4 linked regions of the Sus scrofa genome follow. The protein of the gene in region 2 purifies or fractionates together with the protein of the main gene of each other region. This does not show direct contact. Links are inferred from orthologs where the notes say so. Each region holds a gene or a part of one and is shown on either strand. Other genes may lie near its edges.

Evidence for each region. The genes of interacting proteins can lie anywhere in the genome.
Region 1: the proteins of FGFR1OP (region 2) and CEP78 purify together in Homo sapiens (affinity purification with mass spectrometry; 3 studies listed by BioGRID and IntAct, with this or other methods). This does not show direct contact. The link is inferred for Sus scrofa from reciprocal best matches to the Homo sapiens genes CEP43 and CEP78.
Region 3: the proteins of FGFR1OP (region 2) and PPP2R3C purify together in Homo sapiens (affinity purification with mass spectrometry; 3 studies listed by BioGRID and IntAct, counting the BioPlex papers as one, with this or other methods). This does not show direct contact. The link is inferred for Sus scrofa from reciprocal best matches to the Homo sapiens genes CEP43 and PPP2R3C.
Region 4: the proteins of FGFR1OP (region 2) and PPP2CB purify together in Homo sapiens (affinity purification with mass spectrometry; 4 studies listed by BioGRID and IntAct, counting the BioPlex papers as one, with this or other methods). This does not show direct contact. The link is inferred for Sus scrofa from reciprocal best matches to the Homo sapiens genes CEP43 and PPP2CB.

The regions. Positions count from the first base shown.
Region 1 is NC_010443.5:231,108,603-231,112,447, forward strand, and holds part of CEP78 (centrosomal protein of 78 kDa), read left to right. Parts: intron 1-936; coding exon 937-1,103; intron 1,104-2,520; coding exon 2,521-2,692; intron 2,693-3,013; coding exon 3,014-3,061; intron 3,062-3,836; coding exon 3,837-3,845. UniProt on the Homo sapiens protein: Centriole wall protein that localizes to mature centrioles and regulates centriole and cilia biogenesis. Involved in centrosome duplication: required for efficient PLK4 centrosomal localization and PLK4-induced overduplication of centrioles.
Region 2 is NC_010443.5:2,100,188-2,104,032, forward strand, and holds part of FGFR1OP (FGFR1 oncogene partner), read right to left. Parts: intron 3,049-3,845; coding exon 2,936-3,048; intron 1,430-2,935; coding exon 1,361-1,429; intron 1-1,360. UniProt on the Homo sapiens protein: Required for anchoring microtubules to the centrosomes. Required for ciliation.
Region 3 is NC_010449.5:64,776,350-64,780,194, forward strand, and holds part of PPP2R3C (serine/threonine-protein phosphatase 2A regulatory subunit B'' subunit gamma), read left to right. Parts: intron 1-1,982; coding exon 1,983-2,115; intron 2,116-3,845. UniProt on the Homo sapiens protein: May regulate MCM3AP phosphorylation through phosphatase recruitment. May act as a negative regulator of ABCB1 expression and function through the dephosphorylation of ABCB1 by TFPI2/PPP2R3C complex.
Region 4 is NC_010457.5:54,309,224-54,313,068, forward strand, and holds part of PPP2CB (serine/threonine-protein phosphatase 2A catalytic subunit beta isoform), read left to right. Parts: intron 1-1,317; coding exon 1,318-1,527; intron 1,528-3,306; coding exon 3,307-3,480; intron 3,481-3,845.

The sequences.
Region 1 (3,845 bases), about 230 Mb from region 2:
GTGGTATAAAAGACATGATGAGACACTCTGCTAGCAGTGAAATAGGAAAATGAATCATTTAAATAAGTATAAGAATTGGAAAACTGCAAAAAATGTAATGAAAGATAAAAATGTATATTGTGAGAGTTACATTTGGTAATATGCATGAAAGGAGGGTATAATCTAGAAAGTGCTATATAAATATAAATTATTACAGGGTGAGTTTAGGGAGGAATTTTTGAAAGTGCATGCTTTAGATTGGAGGATGCTTAGTCATTCAGTAAATATCGAGCACCTGCTTATATAAGCCCAAAAGTGGCATCAAGGACATGATGGCCTTTCTGAGCAGTACTGGAGTTGGGCTTATATGGGGTTTTAAATGTGTAGATGATGAGGGGAGAGAAGGAGTACAAGGGTGTGATTGTTTTCAGGAATCCAAGGAGAATATTGGTGATTGTGTAGCTAATAAATTGAATTGGGTATGATTTAGGACTTTTAAACTAACACATTAAATGTTTTGCTCACTAAAGTTAATCCGGTTTTAACATTCAGCAGAATTATAACATGCATTGTTCAAATCATACTTTATATATTTCATTTTCTAACTTAAGGGAAACTTATAGCAGGTAATTTTCTAATGTGAAATGAGGATCCATTATTAATTTAACCAGTTAGAAAGGTGATCTTTTAAAAGTTTGTTAATAAAACAATAGCTTTGGTTTTTATATGCCATCTAAGTGTTATGTCGGAAGCTTTGTTTGGGTACCGTTGGGTTTTGGTGATCATATGATAGGGGCTCTGTCTTTACTGGTAAGAGTTACATTAACTACAAGTTAATTACATTTCGAGTGTTTTATTTTAGCTTTTTTTCCTTAAAACTAGACAAGACTACTTTGGTTTTCTTTTGATAATAATGAGAAAAAAAACGTATCAAACATTTTCAATCTTATTTTATAGCTGGAACATGAAAATGCCCAGTTAAGAAATATAAACTTCTCTTTGTCTGAAGCCCTTCATGCGCAGTCATTGACAAGCATGATCTTGGATGATGAAGGTGTTTTGGGCAGCATTGAGAATTCTTTTCAGAAGTTCCATGCTTTCTTGGATCTCCTTAAAGATGCTGGGTTAGTTCATTTCTCTTGATGGCAGTCTTCTCTTCATGACTATAATGGTAGTTTGTGAGGAACTTGAGCAATTTTTATTGCTTCCATTGCCATATCTAGTCAAATTTAGTGTAACTATAGGTAATACAATCGATTTTTTTAAATAAAGAATTAAAATTTTCAAGAAATGCAAATGGGGTAGCCTGCTTTGGTAGAGTGGAGAGCCCATTTTAAAAGAGTAACCTGTAGGAGTTCCCATTGTGGCTCAGTGGTTAATGAATCCAACTAGGAACCATGAAGTTGCGGGTTCGATCCCTGGCCTTGCTCAGTGGGTTAAGGATCTGGCGTGGCCGTGAGCTGTGGTGTAGGTTGCAGGTGTGGCTTGGATCCTGCGTTGCTGTGGCTCTGGTGTAGGCCAGCGGCTATGGCTCCAATTAGACCCCTAGCCTGGGAAACTCCATATGCCACAAGAGTGGCCCAAGAAATGGCAAAAAGACAAAAAAAAATTAACCTGTAGATGAGTAATTAGTAGGTATAGTTTTTCGTAAAGACTAAATTGGATGTAATTTTAATTGAAAATATTTCAGAATGTGTAGGAATTTTCCTACCTTTTATTTATTTTGCTTGTTTGATAAGTTTAAAGTTATTTTTGTCCTAGACGTAAAAATGTATTATTAATCTTCAGGGAAGATTAGTTGTTCTCAACTGGGAGCAGTTTTGTTGAAAGAGAGAAATGGAGATTGATAGTTGATGGAGTGGTATTTTGTCAGTGAATGAGTTGATGTGGGGAGGAAGGAACACACTGTCAGAAACTATAGGGAATGTGGTAAAGAAGTGTATGGGAGTTCCCGTCGTGGTGCAGTGGTTAACGAATCCGACTAGGAACCATGAGGTTGCGGGTTCGGTCCCTGCCCTTGCTCAGTGGGTTAACGATCCGGCGTTGCCGTGAGCTGTGGTGTAGGTTGCAGACGCGGCTCGGATCCCGCGTGCCTGTGGCTCTGGCGTAGGCCGGTGGCTACAGCTCCGATTCAACCCCTAGCCTGGGAACCTCCATATGCCGCGGGAGCGGCCCAAGAAATAGCAACAACAACAAAAAAAAAAAAAAAAAAAAAAAAAAAAAGACAAAAGACCAAAAAAAAAAAAAAAAAAAGAAGTGTATGAATGCAGGTGAGAGGCAGTGAATGAGATGCATGGTAGATGTTGGAACCGCTCGTGAGTTAAAAATGAGCAGTAGCAGGTAAGGAGATGGGATGTGTCCTGGGCCATGAGTCTAGAAGAGGCTGAGAATTGGGGAGAGAGAGTGGTTTATAGACTGGAGTAGGATGTTGGCTTTTAAGATTTTAGAAGTATTTCATAATTACAAGTCTGGGGGAGTCTAAGCTGCTCTTGTATGATTATAATAACCTTTGTCTTTTCCTCCTTTCTTCCTCTTGTCCAGGCTTGGGCAGCTGGCCGCAATGGCTGGTATAGATCAGTCAGATTTTCATTTACTAGGTCATCCCCAGATGAATTCTACTGTTAGTAGTCCACCTAAAGAAGAAAAGAAGGCACTTGAAGAAGAAAAATCAGAATCAAAACAGAGTGCCCTTGGACAAATGCAAAATATCCAAGTAAGTGGACAGAATAGAACTTAATGATTCTCAAAGCGATTAGCAAAAAGGGTATTACCAAGTCAGAAAGAAAATAATGGTGATCATCTCTAATAGTTTCACATGCTTGGGAGCCAGAAGCCTCTTTGGAGTGCTTTCCAAATCTGAGATTAGGAACTTTGTGCCCATTTTTATGTTCCTGTATTATTATAAAAAAACTGGAAATTCTTTTGAAAATCTATGAGTTAAAGAAAACTATTCTTAGTGAAGAAAGAAAACGTTAGAGAAAATAGTCCAGATTTTATATTGTATAAATGTCTATTCTATTCATATTTTATCTAGGTTTCTATTTGTATGCAGTCAGCTTACAATGAAGGAACACTAATGAAGGTACAAGTACTGATACAGATAATGTTTTAAGATAAGTAATTCAGACATAGCTAGTGGGCAGTATATTACAGTGAGTCACCCGGCTATGGAAACGGGAGGGGAAAACCTGTCAGCTTTGCCTCAAGCCTCACTTGGAGCTCCCATCTCTCACCTCAACCAATCTCACACCACTGGTCTTGGGAACTGACAGCTTTAGAACACAGTCAGGTCACAGACTGGATATTGTTTACATGTGTCTAGAGGATAGAAAAGAAATTACTTTTCTTACAGAACAGCATTTGGGTTTTTTTTTTGGGGGGGGGTTCCTCCCATTTTTTGGCCATACCTGCAGCATATGGAAGTTCCTAGGCCAGGGATTGGACCCCAACCACATCGCGACCTACATGCCACAGCTGCAGCAACACAGGATCTTTAACCCACTGTGCCAGGTGGGGATTGAACTGGCGACACCACAGAGGCAAGCCATATCACTAATACACTGTACCACAATGGGAACTCCAAGGGTGTATTGTTTTTAATGAGGGCAAGGAAATGGGTGATATCTACCCCAGATACCCAAATCTTAAAAGGTAGCAGACCTAGCCTTGGACATAGCTAAGTTGAGAATCACTTGGCAAGATATAATTAGAAAAAAAACTACCTCTGAAATCTGAATAATCAATTGACTATCTTAATAACAAGATTGCAGAGTAAATTGAAATTTTGGACTCTACTTTTTAATGGTTGGCTCTATTCATCACTGAATTTTTGTCTTGTCTTTTATTTTTCCCTCCAGTTTCAGAAA
Region 2 (3,845 bases):
TGCTCGACTAGCCAGGAGCCCCCGACAAGGAGCAGGAGCGGCGCCAAGCTTCAGATCACCTTCCTCCGCTGCTCAACAGCGTGTCCGGCCTCAGAGCCGCAGGGCGGCCGGTGCAGGGGAGAACCCGAGCCTGCGACAGCAGCCCGGAGACGAGGAGGGGCAGCAACCTTCCGATCACACCCCAGAGGCGGCCGGGCTGCAAGCGTCACGAGAGAGCCCAGCAGGGGCGACTGGCAGCTCCCAAAGGGGACGCAGCCTCCGCAGCCAGGCCCGGCGGCCCTGACTCCAGGCTGGCTGAGCGCACATCGAGCTCGGAGGGACAGCCGGGCTGCGTCTGGATCAGGGACAAGTGACCGATCCCCCCACCCTCCCCAGCTTTCGGGCCAGTTCAAAGACAAAGATCCTCACTGAGCAACGAGCTGGAACATGGCATGAGATTCTGACTTCCTGGTAACACGTGTAAGCCTGGCCCACAGGCCAAATCTGGCCCCCAGCCCGCTTCTGTACAGCCTGGGAGCCGAGAATGGCTTCCACGTGTCTCAGCGACTGTAAAAACACTACGGTGACTCGGGGGAGACCACACGTGGCCCCCAAAGCCTAAAATACCTCCTTGGTCCCTTTTCAGACACAATTTGCGGACGCTTTAAACACGCCACACGTGCCCGTCTGTGAACATGCCAGCCTCTGGCTGGTATTTGTGTCTCCCCAACTGAACTGTGCTCTAAGGCTCTGAGAAACGTGTCTTTGGGACCTCCAGTTTCTGTTTCCACCGCAACTCTATTTACACGACACCCAAGTGACCGACAGTGAGGCAGGGCGCTGGGTTCTCCGCTGCCGGGTCAGGCTCCCGAGAGCCACGCGACCTGCACTCGGAGGCTCCTCCTCCCGCAGGCGGGAGGGCAGAGCTCACCCCACCCCCACAGGTCTTGCTAGGCGCCCCCCTCCCCCGTCAGACCCCACGCTGCTGGCACCCAGACAGGTGCCTCGGCCTCTGCCCGCGTTGCTCTGTCTCCACCACAGGCTCTCACATCCCGGCAGCGCCCTCGCCACCTCCTGGGAGAGGCATCCCGAGCCTGGATGCTGGGTTAAGTCAACCTACTACCAGTTTCCACAACAGTGCAGACTCCTCGAACCTGTAAGGCACCTGTTCAACACCCATCTTCCTACCAGGTTTAAAGCCGAGAGGACAGGATCCACAGTGGCCACTGCTGCCTCCACCCGTGTGCACAGCGACCCCAACCACAGACCCTCCATGGAGCTGTTCTCAAGTGCTCGCAGGGGGTGGCTGACACTTAAGTTTATATTCTGAAAAAGTGAATCACCTTAAAGCAATGAACACTTAAACGGGAAATTGAGTTACCTAATCCGAGCGATCCCATTTTATCACCGACCAATTTAAGATCTTTCAAAATTGTGTTTCCCCTTTTACCTGTGAACAGGAAAAAAATATTCACATTAAACCGACTTTTAGAACCTAACAGTCTTTAAACCATGCCAACTCTTTTTCAGCAGAGTTCCTCTGTGAGACACAGTAACTGAAAACCCAGAGGAAACGGCCAGCGGTGACGGTGACACGCTGCACACACTTACACCACGCAGCGCAAGGCCCTGCCTCCCCGCCACACTCATCCCTTTTTCAGCCCCATGTCTATACTGGCACCTGCCCACCAAAGTAATTTTTCACCCAACTATCAGATATCAGCCTTCAGTGAAAAGCGCCACTGGGTACAAACGCTTGGACCCCAGTTAGTTCTTCTCAGTGTCACTCCTCTTTTGAGCGGGTACACCAAGCTCAGCTCCTCACTGGTTTCCCTTCCTCGGCGCCCTCTCGCGATCATTATTCCCCAGTCAGTGTTGACAGGGACGTGGTCGTGACCCTCTGGACCCCTTCACTGATGGCGGCGACGCTGGCGTGGGCCGTGTGAGCAGACGCACGACCAGTGTACAGACCACCTGCTCCGCGGTGGCAGCAGGTCATGCCAGGTCGGGAAGTGGTACGAGATTCTGCAAAATCCCACTGCAGTTTCCCAGCGAAGATCCCCTCAGAGAGGCAGGCAGATGCTCTGGACGCTCTGCCAGATCAGCCCCAGGGTTACCAGGACTCGGGACACCGAGCCTGTCCGTGCGGTCACGTGCCCCTGGGCGTGTCGCCATCTGTGTGCGGCAGCAGGGCTACTCCGTGTCTAGCTACCCTGTCGCTGCTTCCTATAAAAAGACATCTGGTCCAGGCCCGAGGGCAGAACGGGTTCAACGCTCCTAGAATAACTACTGTGTCTCTACAGAATCTACGAACACAGCTTTAAAAATTAATTGAACTTATATCCTATAGAAGTCACTCTAAACGTCCAACAAAAGAAAAATGGTTTAAAAATTATAATTTATCTGTTATATAAAACAGCTAAAAAGTATTTTCATGACATAGGAAAAGCAGAGCACAAAACTACAAAGAGAATATGGCTATATTCAAAAGAAATGTTTTTTTCTTTTGTCTGTCTTTTTAGGGCCGCACCCGAGGCATGTGGAGGTTCCCAGGCTAGGGGTCTAATCGGAGCTGCGGCCACCGGCCTACACCAGAGCCACAGCAGCGCAGGATCCGAGCCACCTGTGTGACCTACACCACCGCCCATGGCAACGCCAGATCCTTAACCCACTGTGCGAGGCCAGGGATCAAACCTGCGACCTCACCGTTCCTAGTTAGATTCGTTTCTGCTGTGCCACGACAGGAACTCCCAAAAGAAATTTTTAAAATAAAATGTTAAGAGAAAAGATCACGGAGTAGTAAAATTACTGGCTATTTTTGTGATTTTACATGTATTTTTCCGAGAAAATAAACACGGATCACACCCTACTTAGCTGATGAAAGAAAAACACAGCCTCCTCGGCGTTCAAAGTCCCCGTCCTCGGTGGGCGAGGCCAGGGGCCCGGGGACACTCACCTTCGGAGCCCTTCAGCGAGGGCGCGCCAGCGAGGGGGCTGAGTCCGCTTTTTAGAGGGGGCGCGTCAGAGAGCGAGGCGAGGCTTCCTACCTGCTTCCCAGGCTCACTTCTCCTACCAAGAAACAAGCGCACAGTCAAACGCGATTCCGACATCTGCCTCTGAAACAGGAGCGGCCTGAACAGACCTCCCAGGTACCAAGAGGGTGGCTGGGAAACAGAATTCGCCTTTCACAGACTCCGCACCTGGCAGGAGCACACCTGCCAGGCCACGCAGGCTAAGCGTCCCTGCCAAGTCATGCTGCAGGGCACCCCCGCTCTCCAGCACGCTGGCTGCCCCTCTCGTCAGCTGCACTGTCCATGGTGCTGTCGGAAGCTCCTTCCACGGCCCAGAGACCCAGGCGAGCCGGCCTTCCTAGCGCGCCCTCAGCCCCGCCGGCGGGCCCGACGCCACCCGGCCCTCCAGGAATTCCTTCCCCTCTCCTACTTGCTTCACTCTCCCTCTGGAAAGCCGGGTTTGCGCAACACACACACACACACACATACACACACACACACACACACTTATCTTCCCCATGTGTAACGCTTCCCAGCCCCACAGCCGCCCTCCAGCCACCTCCCATCCGTCTGCACCCCACTCGACAACCTCACCAGAAGGTCTGGTCACTAGCACCCTCCTCTCATCCTCCGTGAACCCCGCATCCCTGCACCAGCGCCCCGCCATCTGACTCAAGGGCCCACAGGGCAAAAACCCAAGGCGGGTTTCCAGCAGAACTTCACCCAGCCGCTCGCTCCGGCCCCCTCCTCCAAGCACGGGTCTCCAGGTCCTGCCCGATGCAGTGTCCCCTCCCTGGTGACCTCTTCCAGGCTCCCGGGCAGCGACTTTAGCTATGACTGCTGACCCCTAAAGTT
Region 3 (3,845 bases), on a different chromosome or scaffold from region 2:
AAATATGGGGAGTTACCCTGTGGCACAGCAGGTTAAGGGTCTGGCACTGTCACTTCAGCAACTCAGGTCACTACTACCAGTTCCATCCCTGGCCTGGGAACTTCCACATTTTGCAAGTGCAACCAAAAAAAAAAAAAATCTAGGCATTCCCATTGTGGCTCAGTGGTAACAAACCCAACTATTATCCATGAGGATGTGGTTTTATCCCTGGCCTCGCTCAGTGGGTCAGGGATCTGGCATTGCCATGAGCTGTGGCATAGGCCTGCAGCTGCAGCTCCAGTTCAACCCCTAACCTGGGAACTTCCACAGATGCAGCCCTAAAAAGAAAAAAAGACTATAGAGCAAAGACCATCATAAACAAGTTAAAAGAAAACAAACTGAGAAAAGTATCTGAAACTCTGTCACAGACAAGTGGCTGGTTACCCTTTATATATAAAAAGCTCCTAGAAATCAAGAAAATGGCTTTTAATCCAATAAAAGGATACATTTTGCAAAAAGCAAAATACAAATGCTTCTTAATCACAGAAAAAATGTTAAGGGCACTTTAAGAGCAATGCCAAATAGATGTACATTAAAATATAATTTTTCACTTATCAGATCAGCAAGGATCAAAAAGTTTGATAATGCTTTTAATGAAGGAATATAAAATAGACCATGGTTTCCCAGACTTTTTCAGTTCACTGAGGTGCCCTTATTGTGTCAGTAATTTTTCCACAGGAAAATGGCCAAAAGAAATATCTAACAATTGCATTTATTTAACCAGTTAGTCCTAAACAATTCAGTGAAAATATTCGCTAAACTTAGCCTGTTAGCCATTTGAAACAGTGATGCATGTAAATCAAAAGAAAATCATATTTTTACTTTCTTCTTAAGTAACAATTACTAATGGAGTATGTGTGCCCATGGGGCACTGTCCAGCTGCTCAACCCTGGGTATTAGATTGGACAAAGTCATCCTCAGTTCCTCTTCCACACTGATCTTCATGTGGTACCTGCTTTATCACAGCAGCCAGCAGCAGTAGCTTTGTAAAGATTGATGTCAAAAGGAATAGATTTTGATCTGATGTTGACCTTGTTTCATAGCTCCAGCACATGGTGACAGGTCGTATAATACCCAACAGATGTCGCTGTGTTTCCCTTAAAAGTTCATAATATCCAGCTGCATCCCTGTGAGTTTAGTGTTTATTTTGCAAAAAGCAAAATACAAATGCTCCTGGGGCACAATTTGGGAACTACTGATACAGCCTTCACATTGCTGGTGGGAGTATAAAATGAATGTGGCCTCTGTGGGAAGGTGGGAAGTTTACTGATGTCTGTCAAAATTATAAACCTGTGTATGCTTTAACCCAGCAATTCTACTTACAGAAATTATATCCTGTATTCTCTCTTAATATCTATGAATGAAAATTTAGCTTTGCCCCTATAGGTTTTTTTTAGTGTTGCAAAATATTGAAAAGTCTAAATGTCCATCAGTAGAAGACTGTTTAAATAGATTACAGTACAATGAAATAAAGAAGTAGAAACTCTTTGAGAGTCTAAATGGAATGACTGCATAGTGTATTGTTAGGTGATAAATGCAAGATACAAAAGAATCTGCATGGTATGCTGCTACAGCCTTTGTTAAAAAAAAAAAAGGAAGAGAAATATATATGTATTGGCTTCTATGTGCATCAGTTATTTCTGGAAAGATACATCAGAAGCTGATAAGTTCCCTCTGAGGAGAGGAAACAGGTGAGAGGGAAACTTTAATGAATGCTTTTTCCTTTTGAATTTGGAACTACATAGAATGTGTTACCTATTCAAAAATATGTCAAGTAAATAAAAATAAATATAGTTTCACCACTAGTAAGATAGGAATTTATTTCATCAATATAGTATTAATCTTCAATTATTATTAGGACTGAAATCATAGTCTAGTATCTAAGGAAGAAACAAGGTCAGACATTTAACACTTTAAAGTTTTATTTTGTTTTGTTCTTTCAGGATTTAGAAAACTACATATTGGAACTTATCCCTACTTTACCACAGTTAGATGGGCTGGAAAAATCTTTTTACTCCTTTTATGTTTGTACGGCAGTTAGGAAGTTCTTCTTCTTTTTAGACCCTCTACGAACAGGTAACAGAAAATCTTATCTAATTTAAATATTATGAGGATATCATTACTTCTAAATCTCAGTAACTAAAGTCTTAAAATTTCATTTATTTTCCTAACATGTCATTGCCATTAGTATATAATCTTTTGATGTACAGATCTTTTTTTTTTTTTTTTTTTTGTCTTTTTGCCATTTCTTGGGCCGCTCCCGTGGCATATGGAGGTTCCCAGGCTAGGGATCTAATCAGAGCTGTAGCCACCGGCCTACACCAGAGCCACAGCAATGCGGGATCCAAGCCGCGTCTGCAACCTACACCACAGCTCACGGCAACGCTGGATCGTTAACCCACTGAGCAAGGGCAGGGACCGAACCCGCAACCTCATGGTTCCTAGTTGGATTCATTAACCACTGCACCACAACGGGAACTTCTGTATAGATCTTTTGATTTACTTTCACCAGCCATAACTAGTCATGTGATAGTGGGTGTGTCACTTAACCTTTTACAATTTTTCATCTCTAAAATGAAGTATGAACTGGATGATCTGTGGTTCTTTCCAGTTCTAATAAACCAGATATTCTGCTATAATTTGCTGTCCCTTACAGGTAATATATTGGAGAATTATTCTTTTTGATGAAAAATAGGAATTGGGAGACAGGAGAACCATTTAGCCATGGTGTAGTTTTCTCTTTCACAAGTTAACTATCCTATATGAGGATCAGATTTGTAAATTTGGCTTCATTAGTAGGATGCTTTATCTGTTATTTTAACCTACTTGACTTAAAAACATGTAACTGGGGAGTTCCTGTCATGGCTCAGTGGTTAATGAACCTGACCAGAATCCATGAGGATGCGGGTTCAATCCCTGGCCTCACTCAGTGGGTTAAGGATCTGGCACTGCCATGAGCTGTGGTGTAGGTCACAGATGAGGCTTGCGTTGCTGTGGTTGTAACGTAGACTGGCGACTGCAGCTCCAGTTGGACCCCTGGCCTGGGAACTTCCATATGCCACAGGTGCAGCCCTAAAAAGACAAAAAAAAACAAAAAACAAAAAAACAGAACATGTAATTGGGACAGAGGAAGGGACAGAAGGCCCAAGTCAAAGTCCTTGATTCTCTTTCTTTCCTTGAAGCTATAAATCCATCACAGTATGGGGTTGCTGTCAATCTTCCCCCCACCCAGGGCATGTGGAAGTTCCCAGGCCAGGGATGGAACCCATGCCACAGCAGCAATCTGGGCCACTGCAGTGATAATGCTGGATCCTTAACCACCCACACCCAACGGGAATGCCTCTGTCAATCTTTTTTAAATGCCTCCATTATAAGCACATAGCTAATGGTTTTGACTGTTTATTTTGTGCCAAGTTCTGTGCTAAGCATTTTATGTAGATTCTTTCATTTGCTTCTAGTTAACTCCATAGGGAAGGTATTATCCACATTTTATGTGTGAAACAACTGAGAGATGGCTTGCGTATCTAGAAGTAGCATTTAAATCCCCATCTGTCTGCTTTTAACCATGCCTCTATATTGCCATCTATTCCAGAATTTCCAAGGAAAACTGTCGATAGTTTCCTTTTTTTGAGTAACAATATCATATCCATAATCACAAAAAAATTAACACAACTTTTTTTGGAATCTGGTATCAGTGTAGTTTTGGAATTTATCAATTGGATGTATATAGTTGGGGGTCTATAGATAGACAAACCTATGTAAGTTTTTCTTAAATATTCCTCATAGATTTCCCTTCTCACAGCAAT
Region 4 (3,845 bases), on a different chromosome or scaffold from region 2:
TGGACAGAAGTCCCCAGAATTTAAGGAATTATGGCATTTATAGATCAGAAGAATTTACTGGGTTTTAGGAGATCTTGATCTTAGGTTTCTGGCCTCAAGAACTGTTAGAAATTTGGCCGCTGTGGTATTTTTGTTATAGCAGCCTGAATAGATTTAATATACTAGTGACTATAAGATTCATAAAAGAAAAAAAATTGTCATTTTATATTTGGAAAATATATTTTCATATATGGAAAATCCAGGAGAATCTATGAACATGTGGAAGTTCCCAGGCTAGGGATTGAATCAGAGCTGCAGCTGGCCAGCCTACACCACAGCTCGAGGCAACGACAGATCCTTAACCTACTGAATGGGACTAGGGATCCAACCCAAGTCCTCATGGATACTAGTTAGGTTCGTTACCACTGAGCCACAGTGGGAACTCAGATTCTGAATTATTAAAGTTTTCAAGTTGCAAGAGTATTATGTGAACAAGTAATTGTTTAAAATCCCAGCATAATATCAGATATAAATTATCTTGAATTACACCCTATAAGCAACAACAAGTAGACATTCTTAGTTATGCAAGTTGATTAACAAATAAAGGAAATCTGAATAAATGGTACAGAGCTTTGTGGGGTTTTTTGGGTTTTTTTTTTTTTTTTAATAGCTGCATCTGTGGCATATGGAAGTCCCTGGGGGCCAGGGACTGAATCTGAGCCACAGGTGCAGCAGTGCTGGATCCTTTAACCTACTGCACCAGGCCAGAGATCAAACCCAAGCTTCTACAGCGACCCAAGCTGCTGCAGTCTGATTTTTAATCCAATGCACCAGAGAGGGAACTCCTGCATAAATGGTGATCAGTATCATATACATCAATGGAAAGGCTGATTAAAGTGCTTTTTGCTCCAAGTGTGTAAATTCAGTGCAGTTTAAGTCAAAATCTGCAGATTTTCAAGGGATTTGACAAGTTAGCTCTTAAAATTCACGTTGTATCAGTCTGTACTGACACTGGTTAGTAGATCAGTAGGTTGTAGATGGAGCTTGGATCCCACATTGCTGTGGCATAAGCCAGCAGCTGTGGCTCTCATTTGACCCCTAGCCAGGGAACTTGCATATGTTGCAGGTGCAGCCCGAAAAAGAAAAAGAAAAAAGAAACTTATAATTTTTTATTTAACCACCCTAGTAGGTATAAAGTGATATCTTCTTTTGGTTTTAGTTTTATGATTTTAAAATGTACATTTCAGGTGGTTTTTCCCTCCAGATTTTCTTTTAATAGACAAGAAACGATGCCTTCAAATCTGTGATACTTTCTAATTGTTCATTTTTTTTAAACAGGCTAAGGAAATTCTAACAAAAGAATCAAATGTGCAAGAGGTTCGTTGTCCAGTTACGGTCTGTGGAGATGTGCATGGTCAATTCCATGATCTTATGGAACTCTTTAGAATCGGTGGAAAATCACCAGACACAAACTATCTATTCATGGGTGACTATGTAGACAGAGGTTATTATTCGGTGGAGACTGTGACTCTTCTTGTGGCATTAAAGGTATGATTAATGAAATTCAGTTTTCCTTTATTTGATCTTTAAGCTGGCAAAAGGCAAGAGTGGTGGCATTGCGTATTATCTGTTCTAGTTTATGATCCACTTATTTTATAGCCTTTAAATTAAGAGTTGATTTTACATCTAGCCATTTATTCCCTTGTATAGAGTCATTTAACAAGGTTTTTTTTAATTCTTGCCTTGAAAAGTTTGTCATTCCTGTGTCTCTCTTTGCTGTCATACAATGCATATCTTTATCACTTCATACTTTAATTAGTGCAATAGTGTGGTAATTAATATTTCTGTCTCCAAGATCTGACCCCTCCAAATCTACCTTGCATGTACTACGGGATTAAATTTCTCTCATTAAACACTTGCATCTTGTTATTTCAATGTTCCCAATGATTCCATGTTCCCTGTAGAGTCAAGCTCACATTCTTTGGCTGGACCTCTACCATCTAGCCTGAATTTGCTGCTAATAGGTGGTAGCATAAACCCCTTGCCTCAAATCAAAGAGTTTCAGTGCTCTTGCCTGTCTCCAAATATTTCCTTCTCTGGCTTCTCCAAAAGATTACTCTGTCTGATTTCTTTCCACTTCTGCCAGGACTCAGCTCAAGTCCTCCTTCTCCCATAAAGCCATTTTAGTTTTACTCCTTCTATTCTAAATGATTGTGAAACTCATTCTCCCATCCTTTATTTATGTTACATAGTGGTGTATTGCCTCGTATTATTTACTTCTCGTACCTCCTAATGAAATTAGTCTCTAACCAGCAGAATTCATGTATTGTATTTGTGCAGACCTGGCACCTAGTTTTGAACACTGAGTTTAGTATTGGACCCATGATGGATGCTTAGTAAAATATTTATGAAGTATGCATTTGCAGCTTTTTGGTTTACAAAATCTGATGCATTTCCATACTTCTTATCAGACACATTCCTAACTAAATAGTATACCATAAAGTATGTCTGTATGTTTTGTTATGAAAAAGAGACTAAATACATTTATAATCTTGCCCAGATTTGTCAGGGCCTGTTTTTGTGTTTTGTTGGCAAATACACTCTTCCTGTGGAAATAAGAGGAAGGGAGAAGTTGGTCTGTAGAGAGTTTGTCTTGGGTCCAGATTTGTGATCTGTGTCCCTTCAACATTAAAACGTCAGTGTTCTGGAAAGACTGACTAGTGGTAGTCTGAGGATGAAAAAGATGTTAGAGACAATCAGATACAATTTTATTATAGTAATATAGGTATCAGTTAATAAGGATTTCAGTGAGGGGAGTGTGAGTACATGATGAAGAATGACTATTAAAAATTATTTTAAAGATTAAAGAGGACCTGGTGGCGAATGAAAAAATTTTTTATTCTGAAAAAGAATTAACATTTAATGAAATAGCATTTAAAGAAAGCCATTTTAAAAAAAAGAAGAAGAAGAAAGAGCCATTTAAAGAAATGGGGTCTGAGGTTAGGAGTTCCCATTGTGGCTCAGTGGTAGCGAGTCCGACTAGCATCCATGAGGACACAAGTTCGATCCCTGGCCTCGCTCAGTGGGTTAAGGATCTGGTGTTGCCATGAGCTGTGGTGTAGGTTGCAGACGCAGCTTAGACCCCTGGTTGCTGTGGTGTGGGCCGGCAGCTGTAGCTCCAATTTGACCACTAGCCTGGGAACCTCCATATGCTATGGGGTGGCCCTAAAAAAACAAAAGAAAAGACAGAAATGGGTCTGAAGATAATGGGCAAAACATAACACTAATAAAAATATGTACCATGGGTTTCTTTTGCTTTTCCTCAAGGTGCGGTATCCAGAACGCATTACAATATTGAGAGGAAACCACGAGAGCCGACAAATTACCCAAGTATATGGCTTTTATGACGAATGTCTGCGGAAGTATGGAAATGCCAATGTTTGGAAATATTTTACAGATCTATTTGATTATCTTCCACTTACAGCTTTAGTAGATGGACAGGTGTGTATGTGAGGGTGGATAAAAGTAGGAAAGGATTTTGATTAGTAATTTGTAGTCTGGGTTTACATGGCATTCTTTCTGCATCTCCTTGGACTTTTCTCTCTCTTTCCCTTAAAGTTTCAGAACAAGGAATTGGGTTAGTTTTATGTACATTGAGACCAGCAAGTTCTTCCTTTCCTCCTTCTCCACCTTCCCATTTTCCTTTCACTTTTCTCCTTTCCATCTGTTTATATATCATGTGTTAAATGAAGATCTCTGACTCTAAGTAGTAGAACAAAACTTAAGTTAGAAATTAAAGAGAGGACTTCCTGTTGTGGCTTTACAAACCTGACTGCTGTCCTGAGGATGCGGGTTCGATCCCAGGC